Arabidopsis thaliana: one gene and its partner. The protein of the gene in region 1 interacts with the protein of each later gene in a pairwise test. Each region holds a gene or a part of one and is shown on either strand. Other genes may lie near its edges.

The links. The genes of interacting proteins can lie anywhere in the genome.
Region 2: the proteins of ZFP3 (region 1) and AFO interact in binary tests that used the Arabidopsis thaliana proteins (3 or more experiments, as listed by UniProt).

The regions. Positions count from the first base shown.
Region 1 is NC_003076.8:8,682,817-8,690,300, forward strand, and holds ZFP3 (zinc finger protein 3), read left to right. Parts: upstream 1-4,371; 5' UTR 4,372-4,707; coding exon 4,708-5,415; 3' UTR 5,416-5,599; downstream 5,600-7,484. UniProt on the Arabidopsis thaliana protein: Acts as a negative regulator of abscisic acid (ABA) signaling during germination and early seedling development. Involved in the regulation of vegetative development and fertility. Modulates red light signaling in seedling photomorphogenesis.
Region 2 is NC_003071.7:18,625,066-18,633,852, reverse strand, and holds AFO (Plant-specific transcription factor YABBY family protein), read left to right. Parts: upstream 1-3,073; 5' UTR 3,074-3,300; coding exon 3,301-3,414; intron 3,415-3,424; exon of another isoform or gene 3,425-3,535; coding exon 3,536-3,697; intron 3,698-3,791; coding exon 3,792-3,924; intron 3,925-4,499; coding exon 4,500-4,548; intron 4,549-4,638; coding exon 4,639-4,714; intron 4,715-5,132; coding exon 5,133-5,210; intron 5,211-5,325; coding exon 5,326-5,403; 3' UTR 5,404-5,601; downstream 5,602-8,787. Other genes in the region: AT2G45180 (Bifunctional inhibitor/lipid-transfer protein/seed storage 2S albumin superfamily protein), read right to left, coding at 7,072-7,476; ATG8E (AUTOPHAGY 8E), read right to left, coding at 8,327-8,546, 8,646-8,698.

The DNA.
Region 1 (7,484 bases):
ATGTGGTACTCGTTATCTTCTTATATGAGATCTCTCCCGGTCAGTTTTCTCATTACTTTTTCGAAAACAAATAAAGTTAACATGATGCATATCTAGTCCATTTTTACCATATTTTTATACTAGTGTGTGCATAAAAATAATCTTGGACAGACTCAGAACTATATCATACAATATTATTTGGAAAGTATATTTTAAATGTAACCTTATCTTTTGTAAGTAATTATATAGATATGCAATTAGAAAAAAAAATTTAAAGAGTAAATTAATTCATCTCTTTAAGAATTAAAAAGTCAAATACTAATTTAATTAATTAAACTTAATTAAAAACGAAATACATTATTAATTTCCAAAAAAGTAACCAATTAAAATCAACAAATTGGATTTGATATCTAAATTATCATATTAATTTTTTTATTAATTATTATAGTTCACTTCTCATCTTTATATGATTCTATTTTTGCGAAAAATAATATCATCGCTATAAAAAAATAATTAGAATTTTTTCGCATATGCCATAATTTAAATTTTTAAAAACGAATATAAACTATTCAATACATGAAACAATATTATAACGGGTCAAAAATAGATTTAAGAAAACTTTCTACTGAGTACTGGGTCATAATATGAATATTTATATTCAATTTCATATATATTGTTTTGAAAATTTATAATCTTATATACTACAATAATTAATAACATATTAGATTTTTTTATGTGTATGATGTGATTCAATTTTTAATACAAGCTGGAAAATCCTAGAATTGACGGGTTTAGATCGATATTAATACAAGATGGTATACTACAGGTGAAACTCTAAAATTAACAATCAAAATACAAGTGTATAATTTTAAACACTAAACAATATAAATAATATCAACAAAACATATACAACTCGTAGTTTATTATACATTTAAAATCAAATAAAATAATATCGTATATTTATAATCATCTTTACAATAAAAGTTTTTAGTTTAACTAAAATATAAGCTTACATGCGGTATACTGCAAGTTAAAATTATAAATAAGCAAATTACCATCACGATGTTTGTACCTTCTCACATACACACCTATCAAAAACTTAAAACCTTTCAAGACCTCTTGGTATATTCAAATTAGGATTTCTTCATTCATGGAATCATTCTTCCAAGGGTTTTAGGATGTCCCATGAAATGATTTTGGCAGAAGAGGATGTAAAACTTTTCGAATAAAACGTAGACAGCAAAACATATGTTTTTTTGGGAGTTTTTAGATAATTAAATCAGAGAATGGGGCTGGGCATATGAGTAACCTATTCAAGTTCGGGTAGAACCCGTTCGGGTAGAACCCGTTCGGGTTTGGGATTAATGGGTATATGATTTACTACCCAATAGAATAATTCTAAATATTTGGTTCTGGTTCGGGTCGGGTCCATTTGGGTTTGCGTCAGTTTGGATAAAAAGTTTCAGGCCCTAAAAATACCCAAAAAAATTGAAACGGGTATTTTGTATGTAGATAGTGGGTCTCCAAACAAAAAAAACTTTTAGATTTGTTAAGTTTTAATAAATTTAATTATATTTGAATATATTTTACTAAATTTTGACAAACATAACACATAATTTTTGAATAGTTTAGTTGTTTTGGATATTTAGGTCCAAAATTAATTGACATATTTAGATTTATAATTATAATTTTAGATAATTAGATTATATTACGATTAAATATAATTAATATTTTGGATATTAAATTAATGTTTGGGTTTTTGAATACCCTCTTTGGATAAAGGGTAATTTCTGGACCAATCGGATATCCACGGGTTTACTAAAACTCTACCTAATAAGGAAATTTCCTAAAATTCTAACCCGCTCTAACCCGGTTTTTTGGTTCGGATAATGGATTGGTTATCGGGTCTGTTTTTTCGTGAGCCCTATCAAAGATAATCTAATATAGGGCCCAATTAGGTTCACAAATATAACCAAAACATTATACAAAAACTAATTTTAAGTTAGGCCAAAAATTAGATCTTTTAATACAAAGGAAACATGTTTCTTACTAGAACAACTTGTATACAAATTTTACACATTTACTTAAAATTATATATGTTGTATTTATTATAAAAATAATATTTTTAAACAAATTCAATCCAATGCAGCATTATATCCAAATAGTAAAAACATTGAAAAATATTATGACAACACTTTTATATTATACTATTTCTTATGTAATTCAAATAAAGTATACAATTTAGTTTATACACAATATTAATGTCCGTGCTATACAGCACGGGTTATGATCTAGTAATGATGTAATACACAACCTTATGTGGGAAACCAACAACAAGTAAACTATATATCAATTCAAATGACAGATTCACTGCTACACCACAGTTAAAAACAATCAATCATTTCTCATCGAAATAAATCTGCCATCAAATAATTCCAATGAGTTTTTTTTTTTTTGGATAAAATTCCAAAGAGGTTACTAGTGTGCATAACTCCACGTGGTAAGTAAACCCATAGTGGATGAATGTTATGTCTGCAATTGATAATATGTCAATTTTGGGTTAATTAGTTTTTAGTAATTTTTTACCAATAAAATTATTCCACTTTTAGAAAATAATCACTGCAGATTTGTAACTTTCGTTCACTTTGAAAACTTTTATTGAATTGAATAAATTTAGCTAATCATGTTAACTATTAGATTATAATAAGGCCCAAAAACACTTAGATGAACCCGGTTAGTGGTTAATACTTTTACTATATGATACTTAATTACTTACCGATAGCATTGACAGATTAAAAAATACACAAAAGCTTTGTCAAACAAAGAGATTTGAAAGACGAATCAAATCTCTCTACATACAGGGAAAATTATGAATAGCTACATGTCACCATCTGTTTAAAGTAAGATCCAATGTTCTCATCTGTATCTTTTGACTATGATTGATGACTATGTGACCTATATCATATAAATACAACGTGGTAAATTGTTATACTCATTAAGCTACCATAGTCCATAATACACTTTAATTTCCCAATTCACGATTTCACATTACTCACTAATCTAACATTTTATGATCAATCTATTGAGTATTGAGGATTGATGAAACAAAGAACGAAGGTATACTTAAATGGAGATGTCATATAACTCAGAAAGAACTTCACATATACATTTATTAAAGGAAAATTAGTTTTCTTATGAAAATAATTAGCCATTAATTAGAAACTGAAAACTCTTAATTAGCTTTTTCCCATTTTTGTGTCGGCCATATGTAACGTTGGACCCATCAACTAGGTCACAATTGGCATACGACAAATATACATAACTTTAAACCATTAGATCTTTTCTCTTTCATTACAAGCTAAAGTAATTCAAATTTAGCTAAATAAATTTAAACTAAAACTTTGGAAATGTGGTTTAGATTGTTATCAAAAGCTTAAGTGGGTTTGATCTTGCCGATGTGGCTTCCAAAAGAAAAGTATTAATTGGTTGAAGAAAGTGACTTTTGTCATGCAACCTAGTTGTATGTCATGATGTGAAATTAAGTGGGAAACCAAAATTCATATTGACAAATCCACTAAACTCTTTAGATGATAAAGTAGAAGAGCGTGTGGAAGTTTCAAATATCATTTCCTTTAAGATTACACAACAAGAGAAAGGTTGATCCATCATAAAGACGAAATATTCTTTAAGTCATATACATGGTCTACAATTTCTCACTAAGATACAAAGTAAAATCGATAAATATAATAATGAACGTACGAGTGGTTTCCAAGTTGTTCTAACCAGGTGCTTTGTCAAGATCATCGATCTATATTCTTACCCGAAATACTTACTTAACTATTATTACAAAGTTCGAATAACCAGTTCTTTTACTTTGTGATTAGTTTGAGCTTTGGTTTGACTCAATAGAAGACAAAAGAAAGAATAGATGAAGGAGAGGACCACACGAGAAGCCAAAGGAGACAGAAATGGTCACTTACCTCGTGGAGTTATACAAAAGTAGACATAAACAGACCTGAACAAATTTGGATGGTCCATGAACAGTACTCTTCCTTTTCAATTTTTATTGTCATCTTTCTCTTCTGTCATTTCATCATGATGTACTTACTATTTTGAGAAACTGCTTCGTTTTCCATTGTCTTTTCGATCCCTTAACTTCTTTTAGAAAATGTTCATACTTAAAATATTAAAGGATTCCTTAACATGCACTACAAAAAAAAAATTATTATGGATTGTGGATTACCAATGGTATAGTACTCATTTGGTTTACTTAGATATTTGGTCATTCATAAACTGAAAATCTAGAAACCCAAATAAATCTGAACCGGAATCAAAGCGAAATTTAAATTCTACACACTTAATGTATTTGTTGGACTATTGAAGGAGGAAGCAGCCAAAAAGGGTAAGAGTCATATATATAGATAGAGGTATTTAGATGGTGGAGTTCCAATCAACTAGCTTTAAAGTGTTTTGTGAGAAGGGTGTGACAGCAAACCAAACCTACCTATCGCTCTCATCATAGTACTTTGGTCCACTTATTACAAAACCCTAAGAAAATGTTCTAGTGTAGGGTCTTTGTTTCCTTTGTCTATTCCTTTCTAATACCATCTACTTCTGCTCCCATTCACTGATATAAACCTCTTCTCATAGCTATTATTGATAGAAAGAGACAGAGAAAGAGAAAGAAAAAAATCATCTCCTGAAAAAATCTATCCCTTTTTAGCTCTCATGGACGCTTCAATAGTTTCCTCATCCACTGCTTTTCCATATCAAGATTCTCTAAACCAGAGCATCGAAGACGAAGAAAGAGACGTTCATAATTCTAGTCACGAACTCAATCTCATCGACTGCATAGACGACACAACGAGTATCGTTAACGAATCTACAACATCCACAGAACAAAAGCTTTTCTCATGCAACTATTGTCAAAGAACTTTCTATAGCTCACAAGCACTTGGTGGTCACCAAAACGCACACAAGAGAGAGAGAACGTTGGCGAAGAGAGGACAACGTATGGCAGCGTCAGCCTCAGCTTTTGGACATCCTTACGGTTTCTCTCCACTTCCTTTCCACGGACAGTACAACAACCATAGGTCTTTAGGGATCCAAGCGCATTCGATAAGCCACAAGCTAAGTTCTTATAACGGGTTTGGTGGTCACTATGGTCAGATCAACTGGTCAAGACTTCCATTTGATCAACAACCAGCCATAGGTAAATTTCCCTCAATGGATAATTTTCATCATCATCATCATCAGATGATGATGATGGCTCCTTCAGTAAATTCACGGTCCAATAACATCGATAGCCCAAGCAACACAGGACGGGTTCTAGAAGGGTCACCGACTCTTGAACAATGGCACGGAGACAAAGGATTGTTGTTAAGTACAAGTCATCATGAAGAGCAGCAGAAACTTGACTTGTCCCTCAAGCTTTGAGATTCTTTTTCTTGATTCTTGAATTTAGTGTCTTTTTACTGTTTTTTCATGTGATTGTTAGTACTATTTTGTGTATATTTTTTTCTAGTAAAGATAATCTAATGTACATCTTTTTCACATATCTACTTTAGTCTGAGATTTGTAAACTATTAACTATACATTAATGGATTTCAAGTAGACATCCAACAACCGTATAAAGTATAGAGTAAAGGAAAAAAGAGAAGAAAAGTGAATATTGAGATCTGTGGGAAGATTTGATTTCAGAGTCACAAGAAAAAGGAATTAATATTATAATTCAAAGTTAGGTTACCTAAAAGTTAGAACAATCATTCTATTTGTTTAAAAGTTGCTAATAAGACATTTAAACAGAACAAAACAGATAGAAATAAACTATGAAGACAGTTGCTGTGTAGGATGATTGTGACACTAAAAGCAAAAGAGTACTAGAAGAAAAATTAAACACAATATCAAATACAATTCTTTGGTAGTATATACCAAAATACATGTAACGTTAAATAAACTAATAAAGCATCCAATGGGGTTCTCTTTGTTAGAGATTATTAGAAGGGCATCACATTGCTCCATATGTAAGAAAACATTAAAAGACAAAACTTGTCATAGATGTTGCTATCATCACTTCACGCGTGTTTTCGACAAATGGTCGAAACAGTATTCACCAAATAACCAAGAACTTCTCTCGACTAGCTAATCGACAAACCAATCAGATCAAGAACAAGCCAAGATCGTAAGTAGAAACCGAAGCAAACTATAAATGAACACTCACTATGATCTTTGAGAGTTACAAGAGAATTGAATAAAAAAAAAAATCATCATCATCTATCGAGCTCAATCTTGGCTCTTGAAACAGAGAAGGTAATTGTTTTAATAAAGTACTCCCAAAAATGAGAACACACACACTCTCCCTTAACAAGCTGCTTAACCACGATATTGAGCTTGTTTAGCTCTAGAATTAACCCTAAACCGGTTTAAACTTAAACATATCTTACATATTTGAATTAAACAAGGGTCTGTGATTGTCATATCTTTCTTTTTTTTTCATCAGTAACCATGATTTATTCGAGGAAAGAAATATTTGTTTGTATCCATCAAGAAGAAAAAGTGTCAGATAGTGAACCAAAAGTGACACAGTTCCATAAATAAATCAAAGAAAAACAAAGTTAGACAAGCACACATGGTACCATGCAGACCATGCATATATAATGTAACCAACCTGATGAGCCCTTCAATTTATCTTCATCAGTTTGGCCCCAAAACATGTCCTACTTACACTTGCCTGAAGACATGACTTATATATATATAAGTTAAGCCTCACCAAATATGAAATAGGATTTTATTATTGGTTACATATATAGAGCAAAGCGTCTCTAATCTTGGGCCACAAGCCCCATAGCTGAAAATGACTAAGCCGAAAACGACATTCTCCGACAGTTTTGAAGGTCCAGTGAAGGATGGTCCAATGGATTCTTAAATTACTAAATTTCTAATTTTTCGGAGGTATGAATTTGCAGATTTTTGGAGTTGCCGGTAAAATCACGTAACGCAGCTCAATCGTTCTTTGTTAGTGGGATATGACCGTTATAGACCCTTCATTTACATATCAAAGTAAGATATTATTTTTTCGGATGATTTATTATATTGAATGGAGAGAGTTTTTTGCTCATTATAAATTAAGATGTTATGTTACATGTTTTGACTAACTTTAAACGCGTAAATAATTGTTTATGTTAGTGTTGTTGTTGTATCACCACCACTTGAATTTAATTGAACTCGTATATTTCATTTCATTGTTAAAAAAGGTATCAGTTAATAATATTTTGCATCTAATATTTATATATGTTGCCGGTTAATTTTAGTCCTTTGTATAGTTGTGTGTGTACGAAGATGCCTGTCGTCGAGGAGGACATTATATGTTCGTTGGTTCAATAATAGCTTTGACAAAAACATCCGATTTTGGGAAGTAAACAGCTAAACACCCACAATGTCCACACCACGATTAATTACATATATATATGCTAAAAAAGAAATAAAATTATCTTTTCAAAAATCTC
Region 2 (8,787 bases), on another chromosome or scaffold:
TTTCTCATTAGATGTACAAATAGATTGGGGGTTTATGGCAAAAGCTTTTCTAAACCAATCAGAAGAGAAAAGAATAGGGAAATGTCAATGTCACGCCTATGATCTCAGAACACACATACATGCATGTATATAAACATTTAAATTTCCAATACATGTGTGTACTATCTCTGCATTCCCATCGCCCAAATTGCGACAAAAGTGTGGGCTAACCCTAACATTATATACGTTTCTAGTAAAGTATGATCAGACCAACATTTTCAACGTTTCCTTCCTTATAACCAAAAATTATGCACGCCTTAATACTCAAAACTTCCGCCTTTTATATTTGCATCTTTGGTCGACCTTTTACCGATATAACCACCTTTTTTTCTTTGTCAAACACTTATATGACCACTTAAATGTTATTAATTGTGAGGCAATAAATAGTAGCTGATTGCAATATTTCGGAGCTTGATTCTTCATATGTTAAGTTATGCTGAATTTACAAAATAATGTGTTTTTTTCGGTAACCGAATGTTAGGGATTGCACAACCATATGAATAATTGCTTGTGAGATTACGAAATATTAACTAACTTAACCACTTAAATGTTGTTTGGGGGCAGGAAATACTAGTAGCAATAACACGATTGATTTTGCATTACATAATCTAATTCTATGATTCTTCGGATCGATTAGTAACAAATACTAATTAATATTGATATACAAGCTAAGGAGTTATTTTCAATTGGTGGGACAAAACATATATGATATATGCATTGCATCATTTTCGCAAGTAGGTGCATAGATATTTTCTTAGACATCTATACTTGAAATGAGAATGGAATATTATATAAAATCATATGTAGGTTTGAAATTAATTACGTGTGGAGTTTTGCTCGTGGCTTTCACCAATATGGTGTTCCTATATATACGTACATATTCATGGCGCTTTTAAAACTATCATTGAGAAACACTACATTAGTATATTGGCTGTTTCCCTTGTATAATTCTTAGTTAAAAAGAGTTTTCTTATCCAGCAAAAGCAATACAAACTAAAAATAAAATTGTAATCTAGAAAATAGCTAGGAAGATAAATCATATAGTTTCCTTATCCTAATCAATGAAATTCGGATACACATTTGAGAGCGTGCGTAAATTATTAAGTGATAAATGCCAAATATTTTAAAACAACAAAATAACGATTTAAGTTAAACGGAAATATAAAACTAGTATATTGATAAGCAGCCGGTTAACTCGGAAATTTTAACTACAAAAATAGAATTAATTTACTTTCGCTTTCATGGAAAGTCTAGACTTGGATGATTCCAAATATTCAAATGGAGGGGGAAAAAACAATCATATAATTGACTAAAAAGCTAATGATAACCAATCAATAAAAATGGAGCATCATGTTTATCTCTACATATACATACATGATACAAACAAACAAAACAAAGTATGTTTCAATTGAAATTAAATACTAATAATTAAAAAAAAAATTAAAAAAATAGGAAAGGAATTGTATAGAGAAACGAGAAAAAGTAATGGCAGTGGTAATTAAGGAATGACAACAACGGGTGAATGAGGCGACGCTTAATCACTCCCATGCACACGTCCCTTTCTTCCCCCCACCTCTGCCGCCCTCTCTCTCTCCTCTCTTCTCTTCCTCCATTGGGAACTGCGAATTCTATTGTCAAAGCTTTAAAACTTTTTTCACTTAAATTTTTTTTCAAGAGCTTCGTCGTTTCTTAACTTACTTGCAAACACATTACATGTGTCATCACGTGCAACCCCAACCCCAAAGCCTAAGCTCGCGAATCTTCTAATGTATGCCTCAATCTTCCCTTGTTCATACTAGTACTACAATATCTTCTTCCTAAGATTTCAAAATTGATCATGAAGTGGTTTGTAGTTTAGTGGTCATCGCTATATTGATCCAATCTCATATTTTTGTCGAAAGTTTTGTATAGTAGCTATAAATTTGATTCTTTAGTTAGAATTTCTTGTTCTATTTATATAGAAACATAAATGCCTATAGCTATTTTCATATATTAACATGTGCTTTTAATTGTATAGACCAAAATTTAATTGATTGCAAAATTAGGTTTGTAATTGTTTGAGATCAGATAGAAAAAGGTCCATCTTTAAGCGATAATATCCTCAAAACTATTTTGTCATCAGTCTTGTCTCCTTGTGACCACAAGGTCATCTTAGAGGTACAACGGTATAGATGCTTAATGTCTACGTTTTCTAGTAAGGGTGAGACCGCATGGTCAACCGAATTTCTAATATAGGCATTATCAAAAAGAAATCTTATATTGGATGTTGACAACAAAGATTTAATAATAACTCGCATCATTTGACTAATTAAAAATTAAAAAAGATCTAAGTGAGATGTATATTTTTATCAAAAAAAAAGAAGTGATATTTGTAAAGAAATTGTCCAATTCTTTTGTCAATTAATATTATGTTCAAAGTAATTTAACATTTGTTTAATATCTGGATCCACTTGTCAAGATTATGCATTTTGTGATAAATAAAAACAAAGAGTGCGGTATAGTGGTGGTACAATTCAATTGTTATGTGGCAATACAATTTATAAGAATATACGGAAAAGGTATAAAAAAAACTGTTTGTGAAAAAAATGAACTGCTTATTCAAATGGTGTTTAGGGTGTAGTTCCGAAACTTATTAAAAAAACTAATGTATGTTTATTTTATCGATCATAAATTTTATTCGGCCACTTGATTTAATGAAAAATTATATAAATAGTTATTGTCTTATTAAACACCGGCATATTTATTTTTATTTGGTTTGTGTTATCTGTTCTACACCATCCAAACTTATTCCATTTATGTTGCTGGTTCACTACCGCTGACTCTGTTATACTATTCAAAACCTAAAATTGTATATAACCCATTGGAGAATTTCTTTAAAGAATATATGTATCGCTGAATTGAAATGTATAATACACCACATTATATATATACACACAGTATTACCGAATTAATTAACGAAATTAATAGTAGACGACCTAGAGGCTACAATTAGAGCATTTGTTGTTTAATTTTTACCCTCTAATATATTAATATCCCCTTTCCCTTCTCACTCCTTTCACCTCTTCTCTCTCTATATATCTTCCTTTGTGGTATATAATACACAGCAACCCAACAATCAAGAAGATCAGATCATGGTGGGGTTTTTTATTTTCTCCTTATCAAGAATCCTCTGATCAGTCAAATACCCATCAATCAATCAAATCCCCAAACACTCCCAAAAAAAGATCAGCTTCCAATATTTTTCCCCTTCTTACAAAAAAGATGTCTATGTCGTCTATGTCCTCCCCTTCCTCAGCTGTTTGTTCACCGGACCACTTCTCTCCTTCCGACCATCTCTGCTATGTCCAATGCAACTTTTGCCAAACCATCCTTGCGGTACAAAATAACCTCTCTTCAATACTTTCTCTCTCATTTTTTCTCCTCCAACTTCTCATCTTCTTGATCTATACAAGATTAGGGGTTTTTTAAATTCATTGTTTCTTTTGTGTGCTTATAGGTTAATGTTCCTTACACAAGCTTGTTCAAGACCGTAACTGTCCGATGTGGTTGCTGTACCAATCTCCTTTCGGTGAACATGAGATCATATGTCCTCCCAGCTTCTAACCAGCTCCAGCTCCAGCTCGGTCCTCACTCTTACTTCAATCCCCAGGATATTCTGGTACTTAAACAAAATTCAAATACATAATCTTATAGGGTCTCATTTAGCTTATTGGAAGTAATCTCAAGCCTCAAGGATATAAATATTATTGTAGGAGGAGCTGAGAGATGCACCGTCTAACATGAATATGATGATGATGAATCAACATCCTACTATGAATGACATACCATCTTTCATGGATCTTCATCAACAACATGAGATTCCTAAAGCACCACCCGTTAACCGCCGTAAGATACTAATTCTTCTCACTTTTATGATATTAACTTCTATGCTAACCGTGTTTATAATTTGGTTGTGATGATGAATCGCCATTAAGACATGCATAGCTTTTCTTATTTAACTTTCACTGGATCTCGTTCAAACCCTAGCACCATTGAATTAAGTCTAGAAGGAGATTTTTTACCTTTCTTTTCTTTGTATACTAGAAGGAGACATGAGAGATTATGATTTTGTATATTTAAAATATTCATTGATCCATGAACTTTAGTATGTGTTGATTGTCTACATATCCTAGATGGCTTTTAGCGTTGGTAAACATTAAAATAGTGACGATAAAAGAAACGGGGAGATAGATTCATGGATCCCCCGGAAATCTAGCTAAAGAGAAAAAATCTATGTAATATGTTAGAAGATGGGCTTGTCTTTAAAAAAACATGATGAAGTGATGATGGGTTAGAGAGAGAAAGTATTTGTGTGAGAGAGAAAAAAGACAATGAAAGTAGTTTTAATGAGTGTTTGTCTCTTTCTGTCTGAGTTTTTGTTTTTTCGCTTTGTCTTTGCCGTTGAATTTCGCCATTGCCAGCTCCAGAGAAAAGACAGAGAGTCCCATCCGCATATAACCGATTCATCAAGTGAGTCTCTTATTTAATTTTTACAATCATTCATATTCTAACCATAACTGTGTAACATTAATATAATTCCTTGTCACGTTTTTATTTTAGGGAGGAGATCCAACGTATCAAAGCTGGTAATCCTGATATAAGCCACAGAGAAGCCTTTAGTGCTGCTGCCAAGAATGTAAGAACCTTATTTCTCACATCCCAAAAATTTATATTAAACTGTTATCCATTGGTTGAATCAAATTTTAATAATCAAAAGAGTCCTTGATAATCCATATTTATCTCTAGTTCAATAAAAAAATTATTTTTTTAAACGCTGAAAATTCTAGTTAGAAGTGATGCGTTTTAAGTATTCTTTGTTTTCCTTTACTAAAGAATTTAAGCCATTGATACTACTAACATCACAACTTGGTTTAGATTGCCGGCAGAAACTAGGGTTTGATTTTATCTATGCGTATAGTTGCTCTTGTATTAGTTGTATATATATTAAACAGTCATATATGTAGGTATAGCTGAAATTAGGAGTAAAGAATTTTGTCGGGTTATAACACAAGTTGATATGTGTCTTGTACGTATGTTGTTTATGTGTAATGCAGTGGGCCCACTTCCCCCACATACACTTCGGGCTCGTGCCAGACAATCAACCCGTGAAGAAAACCAACATGCCCCAACAGGTAAACCCTAATCTGTCGACATACCTTACATCTTTAATGCATATACTTTTATGTAATATCATATATACAAATATAATTTCAATTGATTTGGATCATATCTTAAACATGTGTGTAGGAGGGAGAGGATAACATGGTGATGAAAGAAGGGTTCTACGCTCCTGCAGCTGCTAACGTTGGTGTGACTCCTTATTAAAGAGATAAATATAATCGACTAAGTATTTGAGGAATTGAAATCCAATTTCTTAGGGTTTATCATGTCCAAAAGTTGTGGTTTCTTTTCCTTTCTTGAACTTATTTATATATATTATAAATATGCATGTGTCTTTTTCTGTTGTTGTAATCAAAAATCTTGCTAATTAATGGGGTTTCTTAAGTTAATTTTCATTTGTAGTTGTATAATTAATTAACTTATCAAAATGTTTTCTTATTATTACTGAAAGCCGAATTTGAAATTTAAATAATCAGACTTTTTTAATAGATTTTTACACCATCGCCATATGTAAAAGAAACTCAAAGGAAATTACAACCACCAATTAATCCAAAGCTTTTTTTCCTCCAGAATGAATATATCACAAAAATTTAACCGAAGAGAAAACAAGAGGGGAATGATCATATTACATTTCAAAATTCAAACTAAACTAAGAATGGAAATATGCACAAGCATTTGCTTCCCGAAAACATGTAAAACGATGTGATTCTGTTCAAATTTCTCCATTCAAAATCTGATTCTTGAGATTGTTGCATATGGTTCAATCTTATTGCTCCCATTAATGGTTTTATAATAGTGATATGGTATAATTAAATAAGAACTGGGGCATGCATCAAACGACAATTGTTGTCAAAATAGAGGGAAATTAAAAGTTAAGATAAATTTATTTCGTAAGATCAAAAATTCAGTGATAGCAATAAGCTAATCTAAAAGTGTATATCAGACTTAAATTTAACTCGTCTTTTTTTCTTTTGGTGCAATATAGAGCGGTGGATATAAGTAGCAAATCAAACAAAAATGACATTAGGATATGAGCAAGCATGATAAATAACAAAAAAAAAACGTTTTGGGTCAAGTGACTATATGTTATCAGGCCTACTAGAATTCGGCCCATTAATATTAATGACGAGTTTCCTTAGCAATCAGTGGGCCTGGTATACAATAATGCGATGATAATAAAATGATTTAAATCCTTCTTTTTTTTTTCTTTTTTTTTTTGGACTAAAAAATGATTTAAATCCTTAGCACCGGATCCCAACGGAAATTGCTTCTCAGAATAGTTTTCTTCAGTCTCCGACTATATTTATTTCATTTTCCGATCATCGTACTATACACTCCCCAACATCGAGTAAACAAGCTTAGTTGTCAATTTACGAGTTCCAAAAGAAGAATCCAACAAAACGCAGTGTTTCGTTACTTCTAGACCCATCTAATTTCTACGTGTTGTATGCAACAATGACGGCTTTACCCTTTCGCTTTCTAATGTGGTCCATGTTGTTCTGGACTTATAGGTCCATATGGGCCTATGTTGGGTTGGATAATAATTAACCAATAAGAGACCACGTAGAGACCCTCTAAACCAAATAGAGGCGTTGAAGCATGAGCACGAATAGAAGAGCGTTATGATTGAATGTCATTTATGGACGAGAGGAGAAATACTAAGAACATAAAATCCATTAACAAGCTCAAGCATTACATCAAACTCAATATTGAGAGAACAAAGGTTCTATCATGAACAAGCTCAAGCATTACATCAAACTCAACAGTGACAGAACAAAGCTTTTTCTCACAAAAACAATAGATAACAGTAGAAACAAACATATAAAAACATAGCAAACCAAAGAGATTTTTCTCTTTTAAAGTCTCAAATCTTCAAGAACATTGGAAACCATGAGGAACTTTCTTGCCACAATAGTTCAACAGCAAGGTTAGATCAATAGGAACATTGAGATTAATCCCCAAGACATTGGCTTTAAGAGCGGTGCAGAGACAAACCGCAGCTTCAAGATTAGCAAGACCTTGAAGAAGTGTACAACAAGGAGTCTTTGGTGGAGAACCAACAACAACGTTAACTAGGCCCAATAAGTCTGCGCAAACACCAAGCTTAAGTGTGTCGGTAGGACAAGTGGGTTTCACGGCAGGAGCCTTCTTAGGCGATTTCGGGGTTTTTGGGGGTTTAGGAGTAGTTGGTGGACATTTTGTGGAGGTTACAAAGGTGAAGAAAAGAAGATTAAGTGTAATAAGAAGAGCTGTAACTGCAAGAGCCTTAGAAGCCATTGTAACGTTTTGTAATGTTTTGGGATGAATGTGAAGGAGAGATATAGGACATGGTTTATATAGAACAAGTTATTACTAATTACATATACCGAGAGATAAAATAGCATGTGAGCGACTTAAGAAAATTAGAGTAAGAAACAAAACTATCCAGCTAGTTGGCTTTTGCAACTTGAGGTCTTGAAATTGATTAGACTATTTTTTAGGAATTGTTAATTTATTTTTCTATCACAGAAAGGGAAAAGACAAGATTTTTGTCTTGTTTGTTTGTGAAAGAAGAGGCTCCACAAACTTTGAGACAGAGTGTCTCTCTGGGTGGTATGCATCAGTTTGATCATAGTTGTGTAGATCCATTATACGTTGTTGATAAGATATTGTTTTACATTGCATTAGTCCCCATTCCTTTAGATTTTTTTATGAATGATAGATCTTTCAGCATCAACCGATTATATTTCCAAATGCAACTGGACAAGATAATCCCAAAAACAAAATTCAAAGAGTCTACATCTCATCATTACTCGTTTCCAATATTTGGTTTGGTCTAGTTTATCCAAATTTGTAAGATACCTTCTAGAGTGGTCCGTTTAGTATCCAAGAAAGAATTCATGTAGTAGCATCATCAAATGATACCAGTCTAATGAATGAAATCTTTGAGGGAGAAAGAAAGCCACACAAACTTATAATACCAAAGGAAGATAATATTATAAGATTAGTCTATGTACATTTTAACAAGTGAAAAGAAGATAGTAATCACAATTATTTGAGAAATGATAAATATTGAGAACAAACTATACACACAAATTGAAAGTTGGGAAGAAGCATTAAAACGTGGCGGATTCTCAGAGGTCAGAGATTAGATTGAAGAAGCACCGAATGTGTTCTCGCCACTGTAAGTGATGTAAAGGAAGCCATCTTCGTCTTTCTTATCCTCGTAAACGCTTGACATTAGCTCTCCTGTTGGAGGAAGAACATTGTCTACGAAAATGAAGATAGCTTTCTCTGCACTTAGTTTGATTCTCTTCCGAATCACATACACAAATTGACCAACTGTTAGGTCTGATGGCACAAGGTACCTGCATTTATCAAAATCCAGAACAATTCCAAAATTACATACAAGTCTTGAAAACATTGAACAAATAACAAGTTTAACATGATCAACAAAAGGTACTTACTTCTTCTTGTCTATATTTGGGACTTCACTTTTCTCAGCCTTTTCCACAATCACCTGCAACCAAACTACAATGTAAGATAATCTGAATCTTGTAGAAAAAACAAACAGTATTGGATTCTCAAACAACGAAGCTAATGTTCTGT